7 linked regions of the Oryctolagus cuniculus genome follow. The protein of the gene in region 6 interacts with the protein of the main gene of each other region in a pairwise test. Links are inferred from orthologs where the notes say so. Each region holds a gene or a part of one and is shown on either strand. Other genes may lie near its edges. The genes, in order: NPM2, ZCCHC17, LYAR, ZCCHC10, ZRSR2, SDCBP2 and TNP1.

What was found.
Region 1: the proteins of SDCBP2 (region 6) and NPM2 interact in binary tests that used the Homo sapiens proteins (3 or more experiments, as listed by UniProt). The two-hybrid records come from large-scale screens. The link is inferred for Oryctolagus cuniculus from reciprocal best matches to the Homo sapiens genes SDCBP2 and NPM2.
Region 2: the proteins of SDCBP2 (region 6) and ZCCHC17 interact in binary tests that used the Homo sapiens proteins (3 or more experiments, as listed by UniProt). The two-hybrid records come from large-scale screens. The link is inferred for Oryctolagus cuniculus from reciprocal best matches to the Homo sapiens genes SDCBP2 and ZCCHC17.
Region 3: the proteins of SDCBP2 (region 6) and LYAR interact in binary tests that used the Homo sapiens proteins (3 or more experiments, as listed by UniProt). The two-hybrid records come from large-scale screens. The link is inferred for Oryctolagus cuniculus from reciprocal best matches to the Homo sapiens genes SDCBP2 and LYAR.
Region 4: the proteins of SDCBP2 (region 6) and ZCCHC10 interact in binary tests that used the Homo sapiens proteins (3 or more experiments, as listed by UniProt). The two-hybrid records come from large-scale screens. The link is inferred for Oryctolagus cuniculus from reciprocal best matches to the Homo sapiens genes SDCBP2 and ZCCHC10.
Region 5: the proteins of SDCBP2 (region 6) and ZRSR2 interact in binary tests that used the Homo sapiens proteins (3 or more experiments, as listed by UniProt). The two-hybrid records come from large-scale screens. The link is inferred for Oryctolagus cuniculus from reciprocal best matches to the Homo sapiens genes SDCBP2 and ZRSR2.
Region 7: the proteins of SDCBP2 (region 6) and TNP1 interact in binary tests that used the Homo sapiens proteins (3 or more experiments, as listed by UniProt). The two-hybrid records come from large-scale screens. The link is inferred for Oryctolagus cuniculus from reciprocal best matches to the Homo sapiens genes SDCBP2 and TNP1.

Annotation. Positions count from the first base shown.
Region 1 is NC_091439.1:1,260,749-1,264,974, forward strand, and holds the start of NPM2 (nucleoplasmin-2), read right to left. Parts: upstream 2,928-4,226; 5' UTR 2,908-2,927; coding exon 2,850-2,907; intron 2,715-2,849; coding exon 2,629-2,714; intron 2,549-2,628; coding exon 2,423-2,548; intron 1-2,422. UniProt on the Homo sapiens protein: Core histones chaperone involved in chromatin reprogramming, specially during fertilization and early embryonic development. Probably involved in sperm DNA decondensation during fertilization.
Region 2 is NC_091438.1:141,023,948-141,027,658, forward strand, and holds part of ZCCHC17 (zinc finger CCHC domain-containing protein 17), read right to left. Parts: intron 3,571-3,711; coding exon 3,470-3,570; intron 1,665-3,469; coding exon 1,519-1,664; intron 1-1,518.
Region 3 is NC_091433.1:4,828,020-4,832,228, reverse strand, and holds the start of LYAR (cell growth-regulating nucleolar protein), read right to left. Parts: upstream 3,007-4,209; 5' UTR 2,861-3,006; intron 1-2,860. UniProt on the Homo sapiens protein: Plays a role in the maintenance of the appropriate processing of 47S/45S pre-rRNA to 32S/30S pre-rRNAs and their subsequent processing to produce 18S and 28S rRNAs. Also acts at the level of transcription regulation.
Region 4 is NC_091437.1:21,523,553-21,527,812, forward strand, and holds the start of ZCCHC10 (zinc finger CCHC domain-containing protein 10), read right to left. Parts: upstream 2,869-4,260; 5' UTR 2,866-2,868; coding exon 2,636-2,865; intron 1-2,635.
Region 5 is NC_091453.1:1,939,842-1,943,552, reverse strand, and holds part of ZRSR2 (U2 small nuclear ribonucleoprotein auxiliary factor 35 kDa subunit-related protein 2), read right to left. Parts: intron 300-3,711; coding exon 191-299; intron 1-190. UniProt on the Homo sapiens protein: Pre-mRNA-binding protein required for splicing of both U2- and U12-type introns. Selectively interacts with the 3'-splice site of U2- and U12-type pre-mRNAs and promotes different steps in U2 and U12 intron splicing.
Region 6 is NC_091442.1:27,249,314-27,253,699, forward strand, and holds the start of SDCBP2 (syntenin-2), read right to left. Parts: upstream 2,833-4,386; 5' UTR 2,826-2,832; coding exon 2,736-2,825; intron 2,406-2,735; coding exon 2,348-2,405; intron 1,532-2,347; coding exon 1,431-1,531; intron 603-1,430; coding exon 444-602; intron 1-443.
Region 7 is NC_091434.1:22,432,599-22,435,226, reverse strand, and holds TNP1 (spermatid nuclear transition protein 1), read right to left. Parts: upstream 1,215-2,628; 5' UTR 1,167-1,214; coding exon 1,028-1,166; intron 828-1,027; coding exon 799-827; 3' UTR 588-798; downstream 1-587. UniProt on the Homo sapiens protein: Plays a key role in the replacement of histones to protamine in the elongating spermatids of mammals.

The sequences.
Region 1 (4,226 bases), on a different chromosome or scaffold from region 6:
AAAAGAACATTTTAAAGGCACAGTTGGGCCGGCGCCGCGGCTCACTAGGCTAATCCTCCGCCTAGCGGCACCTGCACACCAGGTTCTAGTCCCAGTCGGGGCGCCGGATTCTGTCCCGGTTGCCCCTCTTCCAGGCCAGCTCTCTGCTGTGGCCAGGGAGTGCAGTGGAGGATGGCCCAGGTGCTTGGGCCCTGCACCCCATGGGAGACCAGGAGAAGCACCTGGCTCCTGCTTTGGATCAGCACAGTGCACCGGCTGCAGCATGCCGGCCATTGGAGGGTGAACCAACGGCAAAGGAAGACCTTTCTCTCTGTCTCTCTCTCACTGTCCACTCTGCCTGTCAAAAATAAATAAATAAATAAATAAATAAATAAATAAATAAAGGCACAGTGGGTCTAGAAGGGTGAACACTCCACGCAGAGCAGAAAGCCTTGGTAACGGACCAGGAAGAAGTGTCGCCTCCATCACACCCAACCGGCATTGCTCCCGGCGGCCCAGCCCCCTTGGCGAAACACGTGCACACACACACACACACACACAGACTGAAACCCAAACCTGCCCTCACTCTCAGTGATTATTTGCTTAGGAGACCCAAGAAAACCAGTTAGAAACAAGAGACGTTCCCCGAATACACAACCGCCATTTAAATCATCAACAGCGTCCCTGGCACCATCAGAGAAGTTTAAAAACGCAATTCCGGGTCCAGGTGTTCGGTCCAGAGGTTAGGAAGAGACCTGGGGCATTGCCTGCACCCCATGTGGGGTGCTGGGCTTCCGTACCCGGTGCCACCCCTGACTCCAGCCTCCTGCTCATGGGCACCCTGGCAGCAGCAGGTGGTGGCTCGGGTAACTGGGTGCCTGGCACCCACGTGGGAGGCCCCGCTGGAGTTCCCGGCTTCAGCCCGGCCCAACCCTTGTCGTGGGGAGTGAACCAGCAGATGGGAGCACTCTCTCTCTGTCTCTGTCTCTCTCTCCGTCTCTCTCTCTCCGTCTCTCTCTCTCCGTCTCTCTCTCTCCGTCTCTGTCTCTGTTTCTCTCTCTCCGTCTCTGTCTCTGTTTCTCTCTCTCCGTCTCTGTCTCTGTTTCTCTCTCTCTCTCTCCGTCTCTGTCTCTGTTTCTCTCTCTCTCTCTCCGTCTCTCTCTCTCTCTCTCTCTCTCCGTCTCTCTCTCTCTCTCTCTCTCTCTCGTCTCTCTCTCTCTCTCTCCGTCTCTCTCTCTCTCTCTCCGTCTCTCTCTCTCTCTCTCTCTCTCTCTCTCTCTCTCTCCGTCTCTCTCTCTCTCTCTCTCTCCGTCTCTCTCTCTCTCTCTCTCTCCGTCTCTCTCTCTCTCTCTCCGTCTCTCTCTCTCTCTCTCCGTCTCTCTCTCTCTCTCCGTCTCTCTCTCTCTCTCCGTCTCTCTCTCTCTCTCTCCATCTCTCTCTCTCCATCTCTCTCTCTCCGTCTCTCTCTCTCCGTCTCTCTCTCTCTCCGTCTCTCTCTCTCTCCGTCTCTCTCTCTCTCTCCGTCTCTCTCTCTCTCCGTCTCTCTCTCTCTCCGTCTCTCTCTGTCTCTGTCTCTCTCTGTCTCTGTCTCTGTCTCTCTGTCTCTCTCCGTCTGTCTCTCTGTCTCTCTGTCTCTCCGTCTCTGTCTCTCTGTCTCTCTCTGTCTCTCCGTCTCTGTCTCTCTGTCTCTCCCTGTCTCTGTCTCTCTGTCTCTCCCTGTCTCTGTCTCTCTGTCTCTCTCTGTCTCTCTCTCTCTCTGTCTCTCTCTGTCTCTCTCTCTCTCTGTCTCTCTCTGTCTCTCTCTGTCTCTCTGTCTCTCTCTGTCTCTGTCTCTCTCTGTCTCTCTCTGTCTCTGTCTCTCTCTGTCTCTCTCTGTCTCTGTCTCTCTCTGTCTCTGTCTCTGTCTCTCTCTGTCTCTCTCTGTCTCTCTCTGTCTCTCTGTCTCTCTCTCTCTCTGTCTCTCTCTGTCTCTCTCTGTCTCCCTCCATCTCTCTGTCTCTCTCCCTCCATCTCTCTGTCTCTCTCCCTCCATCTCTCTGTCTCTGTCTCTCTCTGTCTCTCTGTCTCTGTCTCTCTCTGTCTCTCTCTCTCTCTGTCTCTCTCCCTCCATCTCTCTGTCTGTCTGTCTCTGTCTCTCTCCCTCCGTCTCTCTCTCTGTCTCCCTCCGTCTCTCTCTGTCTCTCTCTCTCCGTCTCCGTCTCTCTCTCTCTCTCCGTCTCCGTCTCCCTCCGTCTCTGTCTCTGTCTCTCTCTCTCTGCCTCTCTGCCTGTCTCTCTCTCTCCCTCCGTCTCTGTCTCTCTCTCTCTCTCTCTCTCTGTCTCTCTCTCTCCGTCTGCGTATCTCTCTCCGTCTCTCTGTCTCTCATATAAACAAGAACACTTTCAAGATGTAGTCTGTGAAGACCCCCCCCCCCCCCGCCGGCGCGTGCGCTCCGGGGGCTCACCATGGGCAGGACAGAGGCCTGCAGGGAGGCAATGGTAACGGGCGACGCCTTCCTGTCCTCCTGGCCGGCTCCGGGCAGCACCTCCACCCGGTTCACCTCCTCCTTGGCTTTCTCCCCCAGGCAGATCTGCGTTGCAAACAGAGGCGTGGGGCTGCCGCAGCATCCAGCCTGCTGCATCCGTGGGGTGGGGGGCGAGGGGCACCCACCGTGTTGAGCCACAGTCTGCAGCTCTCCTTCCCTTCCACCTGGGGCTTCCAGGTCCAAGTTCGCTTCTCCTGATTGAGCTCACAGCCTACGCGGGAGAGGGGAGCTCAGGAGTGGGACAGAGGGCAGAGGAGAGCAGGGGGTCCTTCCAGAGGGGCTCGCTCCCCCCTCCCCTGCCCCCGGCGCCTCTGCTCGGGGCAGAACGAGCTGGGTCCTCACTCACCCCAGAGCAGCGTCCTCACTGCCTTCTCAGCTGTGCTGCTGCTGCTGCTGCGGTTCATGGCGCCGGGCAGGTGGGGGCGCTAGGCTGGCAAGAAGGGCGCCTGCTGTGGGGCGAGGCCCTGGGCCACTCTCCGCGAGTGACACCAAGGACCCACCAGCAGCTGGCACTGGGCAGGCCTTGTTCCCCGCCCCAGAGCGCCTGCCCCGGGGCAAAGGTTTATCAGAGACTCCTGGATGACAAATGACAAATGTCCCAGGGTCCAGAGCATCCCTAGCGCCCCCTCCACCCCCACCCCCACCCCAGCAGCAGCGGTGAGAGAAAGGGAGGAAGTTAGGCGACTACCTTGCAACAGGAGCCCTTACTGATTTCATGATAACTGAGTAGCATAGCTTAGTGGGCTCTCAGTGGCTCCAAACGCAAACAATTGGTAGAGGAAAGGCTGGTTACCCTGATGGGAGCAGCGCACTGCCCACGCCCACAAACATCGCCTTGTGCCCCCCCCCCCCAAAGATGTACAAGGGGCCCTGGGGTCCTGGCGCAGCGAGTTAAGCTGCCACCAGGGACACCGCCGGCATCCCACACTGGGGTGCTAATTTGAGTTTCCGCTGCTTCATTTCCAGTCTGGCTTCCTTGCTAATGTGCCTTGGAAGGCAGAGGAAGGTAGGACAAGTGCTTGGGCCCCTGCCACCCACGTGGGAGACCCGCTATTGTAGACACGTGGGGAGTGAACCAGCAGATGCAAGATCTCTCTCTCTCTCTCTCTCTCTGTCATCACCCTCCCCTTCAAATAAATAAATAATTAAATCTTTTTTTAAAAAGAGGCACAAGGATTATATTAATCAAATGATAATTAACCCTTGTTGAATATGGGGAAAAAAAGCCCCGAACAGGGGCTGTCATCGTGGTGCACAGATGAAGCCACCACCTGTATGGGCGCCAGTTCAAGTCCCGGCTGCTCCGCTTCTGGGCCAGCTCCCTGCTAATGCACCTGAGAGAGCAGGGGAGGATGGCTTGGGCCAGCGCCAGCCCCAGGCCACTGTGGCCCCTTGGGGAGTGAGCCTGCGGACGGAAGATGGATCTGTCTCTAACTCTGCCTTTCAAACACACAGTTAAATCTTCAACAACAACAACAACATCATAAAACCCCTACGCAAACAGCGGTACCCATGGGAGAGAGAGAACTGAAGTGTGTGCCCTTTGCCCCCTCCCAGCACCTGCAGGGCCGTGGCTTTCACGAGGCTCAGGGAAATCCGGGTGCGTGTGCCCAGTGTGGTGCCAGTGGCACTGGTGTCCCCCGAGGCCTGGACCCCGCTCGGCCCCTCCCAGGCCTTCCCCACCTACTGCACGGCCACCTTCAGCCATCACGGCTCCTCCCCT
Region 2 (3,711 bases), on a different chromosome or scaffold from region 6:
AAATGTAAATTTGGAGGGGAAATAAAGGACACTAATTATCAAAAGATTAATACATAATCCATGGGACAGGAGAAAATACTTGAAAATCATACATCAGATGGGAAGAAGAAGCCAGAAGAAGCTCCTGGCTTCAGATGGGCTCAGCTCCAAAAGTTGTGGCCATCTGGGGAGTGAACCAGTGGATGGAAGATTCTCTCTCTCTCTCTCTGCCTCTCCTTCTCTGTAACTCTTTCAGATAAACAAACAAACAAATAAATCTTTAGGAAAAAAGATATAAGGATAGAAGCAGGGTTTTGATGTTAGTGACTATATTTGTGGTAGAGGGGCACATGTGTGTTTAGCAAGGAGGGATGAAAGAGAATGGCAGTCACACCAGACAACATTAGGAATGTACGTTTCAGAGCTTTGTATCTACCATCTGTCTACACTGAGCTTTTTTTTAATTTGTAAATAATGCTCATTGAGGACAAGTATCTCATAATAGTTTTTGTATTCCTAGATTTGCAACCCTTGGCAAAAAAGGACCACTCAATTAAAATTTGTAAAAGACTTAAAACAAAACTCAGTAACTGGCCACAATCAGAAAAATCCCACATGATAGAAAAACAACTAATTCCTGACAAAACTATAGCACAGGAGCTGGCACTGTGGCGTAGCAGGTAAAGCCGCTACCTGCTGTGCCGGCATCCCATACGGGTGTCGGTTCAAGTCCCAGCTGTTCCACTTCAGATTCCGCTCTCTGCTGTGGCTTGGGAAAGCAGTGGAAGATGGCTCATGTCCTTGGATCCCTGCACCCGTGAAGGAGACCTAGAGGAGGGTACTGGCTCCTGTCAGATCGGCGCAGCTCCAGCTGTTGCAGCCATCTGGGGAGTGAACCAGCGGATGGAAGACCTCTCTCACCTCTCTCTCTGTCTCTCTCTCCGCCTCTGCCTCTATTTCAAATAAACAAATCTTTAAAAAAAAACTGTAGCACAGCTCTTTTATTTCCTCACTGCACTGCATGCCACAGATGCATTGTTCACTACATCTATTGTGTGACTATGCAAATATGCCTGTTTTATGAATTGCTCCGCTCTAACTAACACACAGGAGACAGAACTCAGTCAGGCAGGCAGTGTTGCAACTAGGGCGACAGATAAGTACTTTCTCGAGAGCAATCTGGTACAATACATTAGTGAGGCTTAAATCTTGAACTCAGCCATCTTACTTCTTTCAAATAAATGTATCCAAAGTAAACAAAAAGAGATTGTAGCCAAAAAGTCAAGTTCAAAGTCATAAAAAATATCCAGCAATTAAATAATCATACACCCATAGGGTGGATTAAATTGTTTTTAACTCAAGTTTTTGAGGAAACAGAAAATCCTTTAAGTAAAACCAAAACAGTAGGGCATAAACTATACCTATATGACCATAATTTTGCATTTATATGTATGGGCAGAGCTCTCTCTGTAATGCTGCCTTCAAATAAATCAATAAAACTTTCTAAAAAATTATAAATAAAAGCAAGATGACACTCACTTTCTTTCTTTTTCTAGAAGAATTCTTTGTGGGGTCAGGCTTCTCAAATTCTTCCGACTTTGCCTCTTCCTTCTCCTCTTCCTCGTCAGGTATCAGAGAGTACCTGGTCCCACCTGGCTGCATGAAACAATCTTTTGCAAAGTGACCTGCAGAAGAGTAGAACAAAGTAGAAAGCAAGGAAATAGTCTCTCCCCTCAATAGTCAATAGTCAATCCCAGACATATGTAAAAGGGGCTCACTGGTTCAGAACATATTAGTAAATTCACTCAGGACAGCTGTTTGAACCACAGAAGATAATCCATCACCTCCAAATCACACCACTCCCTCCCTCAGAGCTAGACTAGCAGCTGGGATTGCAGCTGTGAGACACAAGTGCTGCCTTAGAAATGCTTAGAAATGGGAGAATGGGATAGAAGAAGAAACATCTTTGAAATATCAATAAATTTCTACAAACCAAAAAAAAAAAATGGTAGAGGATATGAGGCTTGTGCTGCCTTCCATTAGCACTAGGGCCCATTAAATTTTAAACATCAATTTTGAAACTTATTCTTGACAATCAAAGGCTTATCCAGAAAGCAGGGTGCTTAGCAGATGGAGCAGAGTGCCAGGCCAAGTCATAAAGGAAGATAGCTGACAGGAAGTGGGCACATACATCCAAACACACAGAGAGGCACAGTCACCTAGGGCACTGAACATCCAGACAGTGAGGTCTGGCAGGGCCCTTGGAGTTCCTCGAATCCAACATCCTGCATGTACAGGAGATATGATTGCCCAGAGTTGACAAGCAGTTCAAGGTTACAGAGAGATCAGCCGAGCTGTACTTCACCCCAGGTATCATGCCTCCCTGCCCTGCGCTCTGCTGTAGTAAAACCAACTGCCTTTTATTGACTAGGACAAAATGCACCTCTCATTATTCTCTGCCTCATGGACACAAGGTAAGAGACTCTACCTTCCCTGAGCCTACAATGCTAGTAAGGGGTCGTTTAAGAGATGCTATGCTCTACATAGCTGGTTTTGTTTGTGCTTGTGGCACATCCTGTCTCAGGGCTCAGAGGAATTATACGAGATAATCAAATAGCAACGCACTTCTGGGTCCATAAGCTGGATGTTGCCTGGAAAGGGATACAGTAAAAGTTTTCCAAATGTCTAGAATGCTCTCACAGTTCCCCTGAGAAGGTACTCTTTCAATTCCGTTTTTCCCTTTCACCTTCTATGTTAATGCCATAAAGGGGCTTTAAACTCCACAACTTAATGAAGGTACAAGTCTGTTACTTACTGTTGTAGAAAAATCAACAGAGCAGGATAGAAGGAAGGCTAGGGACAAGGGGTGACAAATTGAGGGCACTGTGAAAATGAGAAGCTGGCAATCCTTCTCACTATAGCTCCAACAAAGGAAGTCAGGCTGAAAGAGCTTTTTAATATTTGAGTAAGACTAGAGGAAACCTGAGGAAAGAGAGCTAAAAACAAGTGACTATCTTCTATTCTTCATTACTAAAAGGATACTGTTTTCAGAACTCTGAAGTAAAACAGATAAAGCTAAGAAACAAAGGGTTTAACCTGGATCCTTAAGGAACCTACTTTCAAGTTGCCTGACTTTTGCATAATAGTAACCATCCTTGGAGATAAAAAAGTTTAGAGTACTAATCATAATTCAATACTCTGATCCCTCCTGGCCTTGTATAAAAGTACTTTGCCCAGGGAAGACATCAGTTGCAGAGCAGGGAGTGGTGATACAGAATCCAGCAGGGCCAGTATTCAGAAAAGTAAACAGAAAAAGCATCAAGCCATGAACTCAGATATAGGTCTGGCAGAAACAATAGCATAGGCAGGTGAGGTTATCATTTGGCTCAAAAACAGGGTGAGCTAAATGAACACTGGGCTGTCTCCTTCACTCAGTAAAGGGTCCATCTACAAGGACAGAACGATGGAAATTGCAGAGGGTTCCTCTTACCTTTACAGCCACACTTCTTGCAGGTAGTGTTCAGAACAGCCTCAAGGGTGATCTTCTGCCCAGTGTAGTCCTGGAAGGACCGCCTCCGCCTCTCTTCTTGCCTGTTATGAAAAACACACTGACTGCTGGCTCTCCGAACAGATGCACCCAAAGATATTACCAGGTATGTCGGACTTGGATTTTATTTTTGGCAGGGAGAAGAGAAAAAGAAGGGAAAGGAAAAGTGTTGTGCAGAACGAGAC
Region 3 (4,209 bases), on a different chromosome or scaffold from region 6:
CCCCTCTCATTTCTCCCGGTTTCTCCCCACAGTCCGCATCCGAGTCCAAGCCTCCTCCAGGTTTCACTTTCGCTTTCAATCTCCTAGCTTCCCCGCCATAGTCCGCATCCGAGTCTAAGTTTCTTCTTGCTTTCACTTTAAATCCTAACTTCTTTCCCACAGTCTGTATCCAAGTCTATGCCTAGGCTTTCGATAGCTTCTTCCGGCACCTTTTCCGTCCGGCTTTTCCCTAGGCTCTTTGCTAGTCTCTCTCTCCGGTATTTTCCCACTTCTTCCCGTTTCTTCCCTCTTCTTCCCTCCTAGGTTTCCTGTCCGAGTCACGGCACCATTATGTCGCTCCCCGTCTTCGTGGAGGAACGACACAGGACCCTGCGCTGTTCTTTTGTCTGCTCGGCCCTCCCCGGGTTTGCTGCTGGTTCTTCCCGGGTTGGCTACCGTCCCTTCCACCTCCGTGGAAGGGCGGTTCCCCCTGGCCACTTTCCCCACTTCTGCAGGGGAGCGGCACACCGCCGGCTGGCTATCTTGGGGGCTGCACAGGTGTTCCTTCAGATGTTCCTCGTGCATGTTGTCTCTCTCCTCCTTCATAGTCCTTTTCCACCAATCCCAACTCTGCTACCCACACGCCGAGTACGCTGCTCTCCTCCAATCAGGAGCAGGTCCCACAGTCTATTGGTTGAACTGGAGGCAGCTGTGTAGAAGCTGTTTCCCCCCCTTCTCAGCGCCATATTGTGGGAGAGCAGATGCATAGAATAAGTCTTAATTCCAGTAACTTAGTCTAGTCCGGGTTGCTCCCCACAGTACCGGACTGACGTCAGGAAGTAATTTAGAGAACTCTAGTTATTTATAATTCAGAAGTAAATTTTGGGGGCTGGCTCTGTGCGCAGGAGGTTAATCCTCTGCCTGCGGTGCCGGCATCCCATATGGGTGCCGGTTCTAGTCCCGGCTGCCCCTCTTGCAATCCAGCTCTCTGCCGTGGCCTGGGAAAGCAGAGGAAGGTTGCCCGAGCCCTTGGGCCCCTGCACCCACGTGGGAGACCCCGGGAGAAGCTCCTGGCTTTGGATCGGCGCAGCTCCGGCTGTTGCGGCCATCTGGGGAGTGAAACAATGGAGGGAAGACCTTTCTCTCTGTCTGTCCCTCTCACTGTCTGTAACTCTACCTCTCAAATAAATAAATAATCTTTTAAAATAAAAAGTAAGTTGTGGGGGCCGGTGCTGTGTTGTAGTAGGTTACGCCTCTGCCTGCAGTGCTGGCCTTCTATATGGGCACTGGTTCAAGTCCCGGCTGCTCCACTTTTGACCCAGCTCCCTGCTAATGCGCCTGGAAAAGCAGTGGAAGATGGTCCAAGTGCTTGGGCCCCTGCACCTACCAGTGAGACCCAGAAGAATCTCCTGGCTCCTGGCTTCAGTCTGGCACAGCCCTGACCATTGCAGCCGTGTGGGGAGTGAACCAGCGGATGGAAGATCTCTCTGTCTCTGCCTCTCTCTCATTCTCTGTAGCTCTGCCTTTCAATTAACTAAATAAAAAAAATTTTTTAGAAAAGGAATTGTGGAAGGGTTCATAACTTTGTATATCATAATTCCGGGAGTTGGTCCAAAGAATTGTCTCCGTTATTATTTCTGTAGAGCTAGATATGTCTAATGAAGGTTCAGCATAGTGGCTGTATTTAACATTGGTTTGTGGTTCGAGGTCTTCCCACGGGAGTCAGTGAAGCGTAAGAACAGGGACCCCCGGGTCTCGGAGTTCAAGGCCCAGCTTTGGCACGTGGGGGCTTTATGGCCCCAACAGCTGCCTGGCCTCCCCACTGCTCGGCTTCTTCACCTGGAAATGGTGATAGCTGAGCCTTTACAAGTGCTTGAGTTAGTAGACACAGTTCTGCAGTACGTGGTTTGTACGTGATAGCTAGTTATAAACCAAGAGGCCCTCTCTGGTCCGGCTGCCAGTGGGGCAGGGGCGGCTCACTGATGACTGGCTTGGCTCCTCACTGCCCCAAGGATTCGGCACTGGAGACAGTGCCCACCACGTGGCACCGAGCCTCCCTTTCTGAGTGCTGGTCTGGGCGAGGCTGCCCGTCCCAGGGCTTTCTGTAAATGCCAGACCAGGAGGTGGTAACCCTGCCCTCAGCTCTGCACATCAGAAACGGTGCTTCCCGTAAGGAAGGGGGGGGTGAGAGGAGGCGTGAGGGGTGAGGGGCACGCGTCACAGAGGCGCCAGGTTGAGGGGCCGCAGCCCTGGAGACGTTCGGCAGAAGGCTGGAGATTTGGAACTGGTGGTGGAAGGTGACGTTTCCGGTTTCAGAGCCGTCTGCTTGCGCAGGCGGAAGCCCGGGCTGCACGTGATGGTCCAAGAACCGAGGAGAGGCCAAGGAGCTGCATCCCAGGAACACTAGGCTTTCCGGACTAGCGGGAGAGGAGGCGTGGCACAGACCGCACAGATCCGGGGTGTAGGGAACCGGAAGAGTCCTGAGGAGGGGGAGCTTCAGGAAGGAGTGGCCGCTGCAGGAGAGCTGGGGAGGAGGGGTCTGCAGAGCACGGCGGGGTCATTCTGGGGGGTGGACACTGCTGTTTTGAAAGGTGGGGGTGAGATTTGTGTTGGACGGACCTGGGGGGGACAGAGTGAGGCCCTGAAAGGGGAATTATGGGAAGGTTGCGTGGAGAGGAGGAGGCACACTTCATCCTGCCAAGCCCAAGGCAGTGACGGGGCGGTGAGTGGGAGGTTTGTGGCTGTCGGGGTGTAGCAGGCCACACGCAGACGCACTCCTGGGTCACGGGTGAGGAGGAGGAGAGGGCAGGGGCCAGAGCGGCCGCTGGGTGGGATGTAACGGGAAGGATTTAAAATGGCCTAAGTGCTTGTGAAAAGTTACCTGCCAGTATTCATCAGCCAGCAGAGGTCAGGGAGCGTGGGTTGTAGAGGCTGAGGGTCTGCTGTGTGCCAGGCAGAGATCAGGAGGTGCCACAGAGCAGCAGCACTGGACACGAATGCGGGAACCGCGTTACCTCACGGGAGCCTGCATGGGCGATCCCAGGGTCAGATGTGAGAGAAGCAGACGGCAGCCAGCCCAGCCCTGCTGGAAAGGGGCGGTCCGGTGTGAACGCAGTACTCCCAGGAGAGGCGGTGTGGTGCGGAGGCCTGCGGGTCACCTCCAGGAGCAGCCGGAAGCTTGTGCTGATGCCCTGGCCCCACTCCGGACCACAGGACAGAGCTCTGCCCGGTGCCAGGAGTCGGCACTCCTGAGCTCCCAGGGAATTCTCAGGACACCTGCGGAGCACTTAGACGTGCCAGATACCATTCCAGCTGTTTACCCTGTTGCCGCAGCAACCTGTGAGGTAGGACGGGCACCGCAGGGAGAGGGCGTTGCCCAGGTCCTCACTAATGAGCCAGGGATGTGGTGCGTTTGGGGAGCCCGGGAGTTCCGCTGTGGCCGGTGTGTGTGGGGAGAGGGGGCTGAAGGTGGGGTGAAGGAGGGCCACGCCAGCCAGATTCCAGCGGGTTCTGCTGCACCTGCTCACCGAGAAGGACCGCAGAGCAGGCGGAGGGTGGCGGGGCGGAGTTCAGTGTCCAGCCTGCCATTCTAACCTCCGGAGTCTCGTCCCACACCCACTACCTTCCCTCGCTGTCACGTCTCCTCTGTAAGTCATGCCCTGCTGGACTGAGCTCCTGGCGCCGGCCTGTGTCTGTCTCACTGTGTCTCACTGTCTAGCCGTGACTTGTGGCTGCGTACTTGTGAGTGTGTGTTGCTCTCACTGGAATTCAGCCGGCATGCTCACTCCCGCGGCCCTGAAGCCCGTCACACTGTGGTCAGTCGGTGAGTCCGTGTTGCAGGATGGAACTCCGTGTCCTCGTAGTGGCCTCCCGTGTCAGCTGGCGCCAGCGGGGGGCAGCGTTTGCCCATGTCCCGTGCCTGCGTGCCTTAGCACCAGTCCTTGCCCTGATGTCCATCCCAGCTGCCTGCTAGTGCACGCCCTGACAGCCAGTGGTGATGACTCAAGCCACTGCTGGACCGAGCTCCTGGCCCCCGACTTCAGCCTGCTCCAGTCCTAGCTGTGCGGCATTCGGGGAATGACCCAGCAGATGGGCGGTTCTCTCCCCCCCTCCCCCTCCCCTCCCCCTCCCCTCCCCTCCCTTCCCCTCCCCTCCCCTCCCCTCCCCCTTTCAGATAACATACATACAAACACAAAAACAGCTCTGTGAGGCTCAGGGTGACCTGCCTGT
Region 4 (4,260 bases), on a different chromosome or scaffold from region 6:
TTCCAATTCAGCTCCCTGCTAATGCGACCAAAAAAGCAGTGGAAGGTGGTCCAAGTAGCTGGGCTCCTACCACCAACATGGCCAGACTTGAAAGTTTTTAGCTCCTGGCTTTAGCATGGCCCAGCTTTTACAGCCATCTGGGAAGTTAATCAGAAGATGGAAGATTCCTCTCTCTAATTCTGCCTTTCAAATAAACAAATTAATGTCTTAAAAAAAAAATTAATCTTTCGGGGCTGGTGCTGTGGTGCAGTGGGTTAAAGCCCCGGCCTCAAGCACCAGCATCCCATATGGGCACCGGTTCTAGTCCTGGCTGCTACGCTTCTGATCCAGCTCTCTGCTATGGCCTTGGGAAAGCAGTGGAAGATGGCCCAAGTCCTTGGATCTCTGCACCCTTGTGGGAGACCCAGAGGAGGCTCCTGGCTCCTGGCTTCGGATCGGCTCAGCTCCAGCCAATGCAGCCATTTGGAGAGTGAACCAGCAGATCAAAGACTCTCTCTCTCTTCATCTCTACCTCTCTCTGTAACTCTGTATTTCAAACAAATAAAAATAAATCTTTTTAAAAAATTCATCTTTCATATAGATTGCTAATTTATGCTTTCAAAATAAGCCTCCACCTGTGATGCTGGCATCCCACATGGGCACCGGTTTGTGTCCTGGCTGCTCTTCTGAAGTAGAGGATGGCTCAAGTGCTTAGCACCCTGCACCCACATCAGAGACCTGGTTCTTCAAGAAGCTCCTGGCTCCTGGCTTTGGATAGGCCCAGCTCCAGGTATTGTGGCCTCTTGGGGAGTGAACCAGAGGACAGAAGACCTCTCTCTCTGTCTCCCCCAAGATCTCTCTGCCTTTCAAATAAATAAATCTTTAAAGGAAAAAAAAAAAAAAAAGAATGACAACAGACCTTTCTCAGTTCTCATAACTTAAATACAATTTTAAACATATTATTATAAAAGTCATATATGCTCCTTATAAACAAAATTAACATTTTTTGACTAACATAATATGAAAATAAAATGAAAAGCAAAGACTCCTCTCCTCTCCCCCAAATACATCCCTAAAATTCTTTTGCACGTCCCTAACCTCAAAATAATCTTCCTTTCCTGAATCCCTGGGGGTATTACAATCTGTACACCACAACAACTTATATTATACCTCTTCCCAACAAGACCACAAGCTGCTCGAGCTCTGATCTGCCTTTTACTTCCAATGTACCTCATGGACCAAACACACACACTATACAAAGAAAACATTTAACTTTCTGATACTTGTGAATGAGCACTACTACGGATTTTGATTAGTCAGCATTCATCTACCTTTGACCCGTCCACCCAGATCATCCATTCATGGTCATCCATTCCACTAGGCTGGGAGAGGAGACCTCTGAGTCAATTGTAACTTCAAAATCCCACAGGTGTGCCAAGGCAGTCAGGTCACTGAAGTGCAGCCAGCTCCAAGCTGAGAGGATATAAGGGACCCTGGCATACTGCATTAGGAAGAAAACAGAGTCTGTTCCAGTCTGGAGCCAACATCCAGGAAAGCAAACCTGAGCAACAGAGGCAGAAGCAGAGAGGCAGAGACGGAGACCTAATGACATCAGTTAGCACTGAGCCTCCTTTCACCACCAAGCTGACTACTCTGACTCCCTGAGTCTTTATCATATTCAGGGAACTCTCATCGGGCCTGAAAAGGGAGAAACATAAAAAACATAAACATATATACGTTAATGGACTCTGAGCTATGCACTATAGGTGTGCAAAACGATGATGGTGTGAAACACTGAGAATGAAGAAGTAGCAGATGTGTTGGTAGGAAAGAAGGTTTTGCAGGAAAAGGGCCTCCGAGATGACCCCTGCATTGTCGGCTCACGGCAAACCTCTGGCGCCGCTGTCCTGCTAGCTCCTTAGGCACACTGGCCATCTTTCTGCTCTTGAGAAGTAAATTCTTTCTGGCCTCCAAGCAGTTTTGCCACTGTCTGGATGTTCTTTCCACACATCGTCTCAGGACCGGCTGCTTTCTCCCCATGGCCATCTCTGATCAAATGTCGCCTCTTTCCACCACCAAACCTCGTGTCCGTCAAAGCTGACCAAACTAGAGACCGTCCCCATCACCGGAGCGTGAGCTCCCGAAGCAGGGGCTCCATCGGAATGAAACACCTCTTCGTTATGCCCAAGCTCTGGCGCCGAGCCCAGGGACTACATATTTACTCAGGGAGAGACCGGCAGTAACTGAGAAGTAGCTGCTGGTTGAGTCCAGGGACGGCGATGGGAAGGGGGCAGCGAAAGACAGCTGGCCGGGAGGCTGCCGAGGGAGCTGCAGTTTACCTCCGCGGGAGCGGAGGGGTCCGACCCGGCTTCCCTTGCCCACGCGCCGTGCGGGCAGAACGGCCTAACCCACGGAGTGACCAACCCCCGCGTGCTGCCTTCTTGTTCCACGACCCCGCAAGTCTCTGGTCACCAAACTTATCGCCCGGGCCGAGCCCCGCGGACGCTGGCAATGTGTCTGAGCAACAGCCATCCTCGGCCGCTCCTCGGAGGGGGTCCGACGCCCAGCCGCGCACCCCTGCGCCGGCTCAGCCGCCGGCTGACGCGCGTCTCCCCGCCCCCAGCCCGTCCGGGAGCCCGAGAGGGCCCCCACTTACGCTTGTCTCCGGGCTATGAGCCGATGCATGGGAGTCGCCATCTTAGCGCGGCCGAGGCCTGCCGCGCTGAGTTTTGGGAAACTCCTCGCAGGGGGCGTGGACTTGGACCCGGCGGCCGCGGCGTGGGCGGGGCCTCCGGGCGGCTTCTGGGCGGGGCCTGCGGGCGGCCTCTCTGAGGAGGCCGAGGGCCGGAGGCGGGTGCGTGCGGACGCCGCTGTGGGTCCGTCCATGGGGCTGAGCGAGGTTTGCAAGGACGGTGACGGGGAAGCACATTCCCGAAAAGGAAAAGTATGTATTTTTAAGATTCGTGTGTATAGGTATCCCCCACACGCAGAGATACTGAATGAAACTACTGTGTACCGGAAAGCAGAAGTCTGGAGAATAAAATAGTGAGCGGGCCCTGGATCCGAGAGAATGGGTTTAGCACATCCTCAAGTGAAAATGGTGTTAACTGTTCATTGTTTAATATATTCACAGCAATGTTATAAGGACCAAAGCTGCTTTGGCAACCAGAAAAAGACCATCGCAAATATTACTTTAGAAAATTGTAGCTATACCTATTTGTAGTATCGACTCATGGAAATGTTCTCCCAAGTCCACAATCTTTTCTATATATATATATATATATATATATACACTCTTCATATGTATAATTACTCCAAAAAGTTAGTGAAAATGGCATTAAAAGAAAAATGTACATTTCCCACCAACTTTTCTGAAATCCTGCTGTATATATTCTTGTCTGTTTCTAGGTCACCCATTTGTATTTTTCAATTAATAATTATTTAGTAAAGTGTTTAGGAGCTTGAGATGCTGTGTTGTTCAAGTTTAGACCCTTGGGCACATGGAACTTTCTACAGATAATAAACAAAATCTGCTATGATTAGGGTGTTTTCCCCCGATAATTCATGTGTTACAAATTTAACCACCAGGGCCAGAGCTGTGGTGTGTCAAATAAAGCATCCGCCTGCAATGCCGTCATCCCATATCTGCACAGATTCAGGTCCCACCTGCTCCACTTCTGATCCAGCTTCCTGCTAATGTGCCTGGGAAAGCAGCAGAAGATGGCCCACATGCCAGGGCCCCTGCACCCACAGAGGAGGCAGCTCTTGGCAGGAGGCTCCTGGCCTCTGTCTAGCTCTGCCCTGGCCTGGTGCAAACACTTAGGGAATGATCTGACAGATAGATGTCTCTGTCTCTTCTGCCTCCCTGACCTTCAAATAAAGAAATAAATCTGAAAAAAAAAAAAAAAAGAAATTTAATCCCTAAAGTCATATATCAGTAATATTTGGTAGGTGATTAGGTAACGGAGATTCTGCCCTCATGAATAAATGAATCTATTTTCAGATTAATGGATTAATTTGGTTATTGAAAGAGTAGTTTCGTTATGAAAGTGAGTTCTCTTTGCCGTGCTTACTTGGTCTTGCAATATGATGTCCTCTACTGTATTATGATGCATTTAGAGTGAACCAGTGGCTAGGTTTACCCTTTGGCTGGCTGTCTCTGTCTTCCTCTGTACTTCTTTGTTTCTCTGCCTCTCAAGTAATCTTTTTAAAAAGGAAAGAAAAGGAATCCCAAATAAAGGAGTAAAGTGATTAATTTTGAGAGTTAGAGAAGGTAATGAT
Region 5 (3,711 bases), on a different chromosome or scaffold from region 6:
AAAAACAAGTAAAATGGATAACATTGGATCTTTTTAAAGTTCAAGAAATGCAACTCTTACGGAGAACTATTTTGAGTAGCTAGCTAATTAGTTAACTGGTTTTTTTAATTGATACTGTACTAATTAGTTAACCAGTTATTTAATTGATACTGTACTAGTTAGTTAACTGGTTATTTAATTGATACTGTACCTCTTGCTCTTCTTGCCGTTTTCTATTTGCCTCTTCCTTCTCCTTCTTTATCCTGAATTCTTCTTGTGCCTTCTGCTCCCTCAGCAACCACTCCTCATGTAACTTCTGCCTATCATTACAACGATGTAATCAAAAAAGAGAAATGGGCATTAATTTACAAATACATACACATATACACATTTGATAGCAAAATGACATGTTTTGGGAATGATGGAAATATCATGAATGATATTTTCTATACAGCAGTCAAGTGGGGGTAGAGAACCAGACGATATGAATAAAGCTTTTGGAAAAGTACAGTGTCAGCCAACTCTCTTCCTAGAGTGATAACTTAAGTCACTATTCTAATTTCATAGGTGCTCTGGCTGTGATCTCTTTTATATGACACTACAACTTCCCCTGTAGGCCAATCATTGTAATGATTAGGTGCCAGTAAAATGGTAGCAAGTTTCAAAGCAATATCTCACTTTTCTCATTCAGAACACATTATTCCTCCTAACCTATACATTTTGATTGCAGCACTAAGAAAACCTGGCATCTTTTGCCATAAACCTTTGGACTACTACTCTAAACAGTTAAGAGTCCTGTCATTTGACTACAAACACTTAAACAGCACAATTGAAGTCTTTAAAATCAAGCTTTAGATTTTTAGAATAGATGAAAGAAGTTATAAATTAGCAAGCACTATTTTTTTAAATGACCAATTATAAAGAATGATGTTATCTTAAAGTGGCAAGTGTCTCAACATGCAGTATCACAAGTTTCTAATTTAAGGGAGGATGGTTATGGAGAGAGGGTTTGGCACAGTGAGTTAAGCTACCACTTGGGATGCCCCATCCTGTATCGAGTGCCTGGCTGCTAATGCATGCCCTGAGAGACAGCAATGATCACTCAAGTACTTGGGTACCTGCTACCCAGGTAGAAGACCCAGATTGAGTTCTGGGCTCCTGGCTTTGGCCTGGCCCAGTCCCTGGTGTTGCACACATTTCAGGAGTGAATCAGTGGATAGATTCTGATCTCTGTCTCTCAAATAAAATGAAACAAAAATTTCTTTAAAACTTAAAAGGGGGTTATATTTCCGAAGTTTATTTGATAATAGGGTGTTTAGGACCTAGATTTCTTTCCAAGTGAATTTATAAAAGGGAAATGAAATACAAGAAATCGTTCTATATTACTTCAGCCACATCAGAAGTTAAATAAGGTTTGATGTCTAGCCTGGGGACCTAACTACAATTTTAAATAAATATCCTATGGGAAAATATATTCCATTTTCTTTTATTTATTATTTATTTATTAAAGATTTATTTATTTATTTATTTGAAAGTTAGAGTTACAGAGAAGGAGAGCCACAGGCAGAGAGACAGAGAAAGAGTGATCTTCCATCTACTGGTTCACTCCCCAAATGGCTACAATGGCCAGGGCTGGGCCAGGGAAGCCAGGAGCTTCTTCTGGATCTCCCATGTGGCTGTGGGGCCCAAGTACTTGAGCCATCTTCTGCTGCTTTCCCAGGCACATTAACAGGGAGCTGGATTGGAAGTGGAGCAGCTGGGACTGGAACTGGCACCTGTATGGGATGTGGACACTGGAGGAGGAGGCTTAACCTTCTATGCCACAGCACCTGCTGCTCCATTTTCAACTACAGACTCCAGGAACACACCTGTTAGTCATGGTAGAGGCTGGTATGTATACATCAATGTTCCTATGCATATTGTAGGATACAACACAGATGTTTCAGTTGTGCAGAACACTTTAATTGTAGGTAACTGAAACAAATGGAATATGAACTTTTAAAAATTATTTTATTTACTGAAAGACATAAAGATATAGGCAGAGAGAGAGAGAGAGAGATCCCATCCACTGGTTCACTCCCCAAATGCTTGGAGCACCTGGGGCCAGGAGCCAAGAATGTACCTCAGGTCTCCCATGTGGGTGGTAGGGACCCAACCACTTGAACCATCACTTGCTGCCTCCCAAGCTGCACCACAGCAAAAAGCTGGAATTGTAAAGGAGCTGGGACTGAAACCCAGGCCCTGAAATGTGGGCTGCAAGTATTCCAACTGGTGTCTTAAAACCTATGCCAAACACCTGAACCAGTACCTAAATTTAAAACCACGAAAAAATAAATGTTAAAAACTTTAACATCTAATAATTTTAAGATAACTGTGCTTCTGCTTTCAAATAGGCCATAAAGCCATACAGTATTTTCATACAATTAATTTTCTTGTTTTTTAGCAATAATGTAGTATGTGCTATGGTTTGGAAGTGAGAGAGGTCCCCAATGTGGCAGTATAGAAAGGCAGTGGAATTTTTGTTTAAAAGATTTATTTATTTCAAAGAGTGAGGGGGGAGGGCTGAAACAGAAAAAGATCTTTCATCTGCTGGTTAACTCCCCAGATGGCCACAACGGCCCAGGCTCAGCCAAGCTGAAGCCAAGAGCTTCTTCCAGTTCTTCCATGTGGGTAGCAGGGTCCCAAGCACTTGAGCTGTCCTCCACTGCCTTCCCAGACACATTAGCAGGGAGCTGGATTGGAAGTGGAGCAGCTGAGACATGAACTGGCACCCATATGGGATGCCAGCATTGCAGGCATCGGCTTTGCCCACTACGCCACAATGCCACCTCCCCTCCTCACCTCCGGTGATGGAACTTTTAAGAGGTACAGAGGGCCCACTGAAAGGTTGCTTAAATCATTGGGAACCATCAGCCTCTGAAGAGATTAATGGCAGTCTCACAGAGTGCATTAGCTCACATGAGAATGGTTTGTTATGAAGAGAAAAAAACTGGCTCCTCCCTGGTCTCTAGCTTTCTATCTCACCATGTGATCTCTTCCACACGCACTTGTGATGCCATGTACCATGAGGCCCAACCAATGGGGCCTCCTGATCTTGGACTTTCAGCCTCTAAAGCTGTGTGCAAAATAAAACTCTTTTATTTATAAAGTTCCTAGGAGGCCGGCGCTGTGGTGTAGCAGGTAAAGCCGCTGCCTGCAGTGCCAGTATCCCATATGGTTGTCAGTTCGAGACCCAACTGCTCCACTTCCAATCCGGCTCTCTGCAGTGGCCTGGGAAAGCAATGGAAGATGGCCCAAGTCCTTAGACCCCTGCACCCGCGTGGGAGACCCAGAAGCAGCTCCTGGCTCCTGGCTTCGGATTGGCACAGCTCCAGCTATTGCAGCAAATTGGAGAGTGAACCAGCGGATGGAAGACCTCTCTCTCTCTGCCTCTCCTTCTCTCTCTGTGTAACTCTTTCAAATAAACAAATCAATCTTTAAAAGAAAGTACCTAGGTTTGGTTATTTTATTATAGTACAAGAAAACAAATATAGTATGTAACACTCAGAAGAATAAACAAAGATAAAAAAAACACAAAGATGCATGTATATGATTGAAAACAAGTATTTCAAGTAAGCAGGAAAACAAAATTTATTTCCCTACTTCATATCAAATGTATCATCTTCATCATAACAGAAATCTATAATAATAGCTATAGTCATTACAGCACCCTTATCTGCTCATATTAAGTAC
Region 6 (4,386 bases):
GGAGAGGCAGGGTCCCAGAGTCAGTGTCCCTGGTCCCACCTGGGCTCAGAGCACTCCTCCAAGCTGTGGCTTTCCGCCGAGTGCTCCTGGGGCTTACTGGGTACCAGGACCACAGCTCCCCGGCAGGTGCAATGGTCCCCTGCTCCTAGGAGGAATCACTCCCAACTGCACAGCTGGGAGGAGGGGAGTCAGGATTTCACACCTGGCCAGAGGCCACACCCTAACCACTGTGCCACACGGCCTCTCCCAGAGGCACCTGGCTCCCACAGTCTATGGAGGATCGCAGGGAGGGTCACAGGAGGAAGGCGGTCTCCGACGATCACGGCCCATGGAGGGTCTGGTGGAGGGGGTGGAGGGGTGGGGTTCCTGCCTCCAGCCAGCACTGGGGAGCAGCCCTGGGGGCCAGAGTGCCGCCTGCTCTCGGGCTCCGCCGGGCCGCCTACCTTGTCGATGGCGCGCAGCTGCAGCCCAATCTTGTCCTGCTCGTTCTTGCACAGGTGAATCTCCCGCACCCCAGGCTTGATCTCCGCACGCCGGACGCCCAGGTTGTTCCCGGACACGGGTGCCACTACCTGGCCTGCCCAGGAGCCAGAGACGGCTACCTGCAGACAACAGGAGGGCAAAGGGGTTAGCCCGGCCCTCGGGGGCCCCCTACCACCGGGGTCACCACGGATAGGGGTGTGGATGGGGAAAGGAGGTGGAGTGGTCCTGCCCCCGCAGCTCTTTTCCGCAGGAGCCCAGGGGAACGTGGCCTCGTGGGGCCACTAGGGGGCGTCAAAGTCCACATCCAGGGACCGGGATGCAGGAAGGGGACTAATTTCCAAGGGAAATTGGGATCAGGAAAAAAAAGTTTAAAACCACTTAAAATGGAAAATAAATTCACAGCAAATAGGTGCAATTGGGGACAGAAGGACTCAATTTTATTTTTGTTATAAAAAAATTAAGCTAAAAGTATAAAAACTTATCGACCACTTCCCCTTAAGAGGCAGGGCGAGGTGGGGGTGTCCACTCTCCCGACTACTCTTAAATAGCACTGGAAGACCCAGCCCGCGCAGTAAGGAGGAAAAGGGGCAGCGGGCATGCAGACTAGAAAGGGAGAAATAAAACATGACATCGTGGGTGACAAGCCCCTGCCCTCTCAGGTCTTTCTGTCCACGCAGCTGCTCCTGTGTCACAGGCAGCCTGCACTGGGGGACACCAGGCTTGGGCTCTATATCCCATCTGGCAGCCTGAAGCCAGAGGTCAAAGGGCAGGCCCCCACAGGAAACCATGGAAACCCCAGGCTGCTTTTCATGAGGGCTCACAATGGAAAGTGCATTGAGAAACAGAGCCCCAAGAATCCTGGGGGAAAGAGGAGACAGAAACACAGGGACACAGGAGGTCTGCCGGAGTGGCAAGACCAGGAAGACAGGCAGGAGGCGGATACGCACCGTGCTCCCCTCGGCGCTTGGAGACAAGCTCTGCTGGACCTCTTGGCTGGAGAGGGAAAGGCCCATGTAACTATCCAGTTCCGCCAGGTTTGGGTACAAAACTGGTTGGGGAGGGAAGCAAGGAAGCAGAGAGGTGTTACTTGAGGGTGTGGCCACGACCCTTTCTGCCGCACTCCCGTGTGGCCGTGCATTTTTAGAAGAGATGGAGCGTGAGGATGCTGTTTCCTCCCAGGACTGCCACGGGTCCCTGGGAGCACTCATTCCCCAGGGGCACTTGCTGGCGATGTGGCCTCCTCTGAAGATCTGCAGGGCAGGCGTCTGCCTTTGTCCAGGGCTGGCCTGGGACACCAAGTCCATCAGTTACCACCTTGGCATTCAGCTGTGACTGGACATGGGACACCAAGAATAGTGCTGGCGCTGAGGCCTCAGGACATCCACAGTCTGTGGCTGGGAGGGGGCAGGTGTCTGACCCAAGGGTACCCCCACCCCAGAATGTGGGGGAGACAGACCACACTGTGGGAGGGCGAGTGCAGGCCCTGAGTTCAAGTTTGCCACCACAGGACCTGCATCAGGACCACCTGAGCACCTCCTGGGACCTCCCCAGGGTACAGGGCTCCTCTGATCAGAAAGTCCTTGTCCTCACTAGGCCAGCTTTCCCGGTGTCCCCTTAAAGGCTTCTGGTGAGGGTGGAATGCATGCGAGGCCATGTGCATGGGTAGCGAGTGAGAGATGAGCACCTGGAAACCGCCAGAGGAGGGGAGGCCAAGGCCTCGGGCTGCTACCGCCCTGCCCCAGACCAAGGCCTCCCCAGCGCCTCAAAGCCTCTCCCGGTGCCCAGGACCCTCCAGGATCTACAGAGCATTCAGTGGGGGTGGGGCAGGGAGAGTCTTACAGGCTGTGGGGTGCATGAGACTCACCTGGAGACGTGGAGGTGGCTGCCGCCGGGAGCAGCAAGGCAGGCATCCTGGACTGGGCCTGCGGAAGCACGGGCAGTGCGGTCAGCTGCGGGTCCAGGCAATGCATGTGTGGACAGCTTGGGGCGGGGCCTGCGTGCCCTCAGAGCTCACAGAGACTGGCTTCTGCAGATGTGCCCATCCCCGGGAGGGGGTTCTCCTGGGGCCCACACTCCCCAGGTATCACAACCCAGGTAGCAAGGCCCATCTCTGAACCAAGTTCTGAGCTCCAAAGTCTCAAGGTGCCAAACCCTCTCTGGGACCACAGGGCAGTGGGATGGAGGGAGGGAGGGGCTTCCAGGCTGGAGCATGCCAAACCCCATCCACGCACATCCTGTAGCAGATGGCTTACCTGGATGACCTGGTCCACCTTCAGGTCCTCCAGAGATGGATACAGGGCGGACATGGCTGCTCCCTGAGACACCTGCAGAGTCCAGGGCATGAGGAGGGGTGAGGGTGCCAGGCTACACTCAGGCGGGACAAAGACAGCCAAAGGTGTTATTATCCCCGCTTTAGAAAGGAGGGCACTGGGGTTTGAGCCAGTCTGTGTGGTTCCTGAGCCTATGGCCTTCCCTCACAAAATTCCATAGTAAGGGCAGGCACTGTGGCGTAGAGGGTAAAGCCACTGTCTGCAGTGCTGGCATCCCATATGGGCGCCGGTTCAAGTCCCAGCTGCTCCACTTCAGATCCAGCTCTCTGCTATGGCCTGGGAAAGCAGTAGAAGATGGCCCAAGTCTTTAGGCCCCTGCACCCGCGTGGGAGACCCGGAAGAGGCTCCTGGCTCCTGGCTTGAGATTGGCGCAGCTCTGGCCATTATAGCCAATTGGGGAGTGAACCAGCGGATGGAAGATGTCTATCTCTATCTCTCTGCCTCTCCTTCTCTGTGTAACTCTTTCAAATAAATAAATAAATCTTTAAAAGAAACTCCATAGCATCATGATCCTCTGACACTGGGCTGTAGAATCTAGATCCTGGGCCTACCTGGGACAAGCTGGAAGGAAAGGGAGATCACGAACTATATGCTTTCCTGCATGCCCCAAAACTCAGATGCACTAGCGTGGCCTGGCTACTCAAGCCAGCAGGTGTGCAGGGAGAATAATGTGCTGTGCTCCAGGCCTGTTAGGAGTGTACGGGATCGGGATTAACCACTTTGTCTGTCTGCATTTGTAGATGTCACAGCGACCCCACAGTTGCAAACAAATATGTTTAGTCATTGAGTCAAGAGGTCAAATGGGTGGGAGTGCCACAACCCACATCAGAGTGCCTGATTCGTCTTGGCTGCTCTGCTTCCAATCCGGTTCCCTGCTAATGTGCCTGAGAAGGATGATGACCTAAGTATGTGGATCCTTGCCACCCATGTAGGAAACTAGGAGGGAGTTCCTGGCTCCTGGCTTCTGCCTGCTCCAGTCCTGGCTGTTGCCAGCATTTTGAGAGTGAACCAGCAGTTGGCAAGATGTCTCTCCCTCTCTGTCCTGCTCTCTGTCACTCTGCGTTTCAAATAAATTTTTTCTTAAAAGGTGCCAAATATAAACTCCTGGAGCAGTTCAGTTGCATATTGTCTTCCAATAAATCCAAACCCACTGGTAAATTAGATACAAGCGTGATCGGAAGTAATCCAGTGTGAGCGTTTACATATTCTTTTATTATAAATTATTTTCATTTTCTTCATTTCTCCTTTATAAAGACATGACATCCTATTGACATCGATTTTTATTTATTTTTTTACCCAGGAGTCGTCGTCGCCTGTAGCCTCGGGCTGCACCTGCTTGTTCCCTAGATCTCTATTTGCAGTTTTGATAAGTGGCATCGGAGAGAGCCCCGAGGGTCTCCAGGATCTGCCCTCCACTGCTGGCCTCAGACTACCCACGCGTCACACCGCTGCACGACCCCCAAAAGACTCCGCCTACCACACCGTCGCCATTCGAAACGGCGGAAAGCGCCTTCTGCCGGTTGCTATGGGCTACGGCGCCTGCGCAGAACCTCCGCTAGCTGCGCGGTGGAGT
Region 7 (2,628 bases), on a different chromosome or scaffold from region 6:
CAGGCAAACTTGACCAACACTCACTGTGGCTTGAATCTCTAGCTACTGGTTGCGTCCATCTGAAAATGTGGCTTATTACTAAAAAACCTGTAGAAGTCTAGGCATAAAGCCCTCATCACTTCCACTTTACTAATAGGATGATTGTGGATGATTGTGTTCTCCTTACAAAGTTCATGCTGCCTTCTGTTCAGAACACCTCCCAATTCTTAACAGCCTGCTAATGCTTCCCAATGACTTGAGAGCCTCCACTGAATGTTTTTTGGGCCAAATCAACTTCAGCTTGTGTCTCCTTATGCTAGAAGTCCCTTGACAAAAGTAGCTTGTGACCTTTGGCTCATATTTGGCACTCAGATGAACTCATTTCTCCCTATACTCTGTTTCCATATTGGGGAGGGAGTCCATGCCTTGGGAAAAAGACCTAAATATGGAGATGGCCAGAATGGGGCCACCACGGGAAGGAGTTGTAAGGACAAATTACTTTGATATTTTCCAAGTCATGTTTAATGGTTTCATTTGGGCCAATTCTTCCCCAAGTCTGCCTTGCTCAGGATTCCAAGTTTTTCCAACCAAAAGATCAAAGGAAACAGTTTAGTTTTCAAAATTTTATTGAGATGTTGGGGAGAAACAGCCAACATATACATTCCTCATTTTGTCACAATTGGCATTTTATCCACACTCGATAGGCTCTTCTCTGGCTTTGGTCTAACTTCAGGCCTCCTTGGCAGTTCCCCTTCTGTTGTTCTCTCATTGCTGCCTGGTGCTGTTTGAAGCCCACCAGGACAGAGCCCGCTGGTAAGTTCACAAGTGGGAGCGGTAATTGCGGTTGGCTGTGGGGGAAGGACAGGTTGCAAGAGTGATACCCATTAGAAAACACCCATCAAAACTTTTTTGCCCAAGCAGGGTTTTAATCATTGGAAAGGATCTCTGCTGAGATTTCAAGGTCATATGTAGGCTGCCTCCAGATGTGAGGGCCTGGGGAGCAACATCTTCCCAAGTTTGACTACTTTCCTACTCATCCCTCGCTCACCATCATCGCTCCTTTTCCTACTCTTCAGGCTGCCCTTCCGGTATTTTCTTTTGCTGCCACCTCTCTTGACTCCTTTGTGCGGAGAGCGGTTCTTGCCCCTCCTCATGCCATGACTCTTTAATTTGCGGCTGGTCGACATTGTAATTTCTGCCAAAATGAGGGGCTTTGCAAGGCCCGGGAGCTGAGAGTGTGGGTATTTAAGGCCTTGGCCTTTGTGACTGTGAAGGGGCGTGGCCTAGCAGGTAGGCAGTGCTCTTTTGTGATGTCACTAGCCTTTGTTACTCTTTGGTCATATATGTGAAATAAAGTGGTCCCTTTCATGCAGCTCAAATGTTGGCATCAATTTTGAGATGTTTTTCAGGTTAGGTAAGGCTTTCCAGATAGGTAGTTATGAGCAATTAAATCTTGGCTCAATACCAGGCATTTGAGGAATACAAGAGACCACTAAAATACATGTCTCCTGCTTGTAGGGAATTTAGTACCCACTGAGTATGTGTGTATGCATACATGTTTAAGTCTCAAAGCATCTGGAGGCAACAAGCACTTGACTCTAGGAAATCCAACTCAGTATGATCAAAACATAAATATTGTTTCTCTTTCATCTAAAAGTTTCTCAGTCTAAGAACCACCGACGCAATGGGCTGGATAACTCTTGGTGAGTCCTCCTTTGGCAGCGTCCCTGGCCTCCCTGGACTCTACTCACTAGATGCCAGCAGAGCCTCCATAGATGCCATCACCAAAAATATGTCCAAATATCGCTGTTTTTCCTTTGAGAGGCTGAGGGAGTGGGGGCAGGGGGCAACATCAGCCTGGTTCAGAATCACTGGCCTCACTATATTAAAAAATTCAGCCACAAATATTTATTGATTAGATAGGATGCAGCATGAGCTTAGGTGTTAAGAAAACAATGGTGGATAATGACACATGTGAGTCCTGTGCTCATGGAACTTTCAGACTCATGAGATGCCATTAATCTAGTATCCATAAATATCAGTGAGGAATTACTTAGAGGCTCATTTTGCCTGGAGGAGGGGCAGAGGGAACCTCCCAGCGTGGTGTGGGATGAGTTTGAAAAGAGAGGCAGAGACCAAACCATGCTCAAGTACACTGGGAAGCCTTGAAAAATGTTAGAGGGTTGGCACAATGAGACAGGCAGCTGGTGGGTGGGCTATTGATTTATTGGAGGAGTCGAGTGAATAAAGGGAGAGGCTATTGTCAATAGCAGTGGTTCAATAGGGAGAAAGATCTGATAATGGCTTAGACTTGGATGAAGAGGTGTTGATTGAAATACAGAAGCAGACAAAAGACAAAGACTTGGTGATGGATTGGATTTGGAAGGTGAGAGCAAATGGTGTTAAGGGTACAGCTTTTGTTTCTGTGTAATATAGCTGTCTGGATGCTGGTGCCACTCCGGGGATAAAGACCAGGCATGGGGATGGTGATAAGCATGTATTTGGGTTAAAACATGCTATGTTGAATTTAAAGTGCTTTTTTGAGATATCCATGTAGGGAAACTGAATGATAACTGGTATGTGGCGTTAAAGGATTTGTCATTCCAACCTTTTCTCCTCTCACTTTTATAAATCATGTTTTAGTTCTTT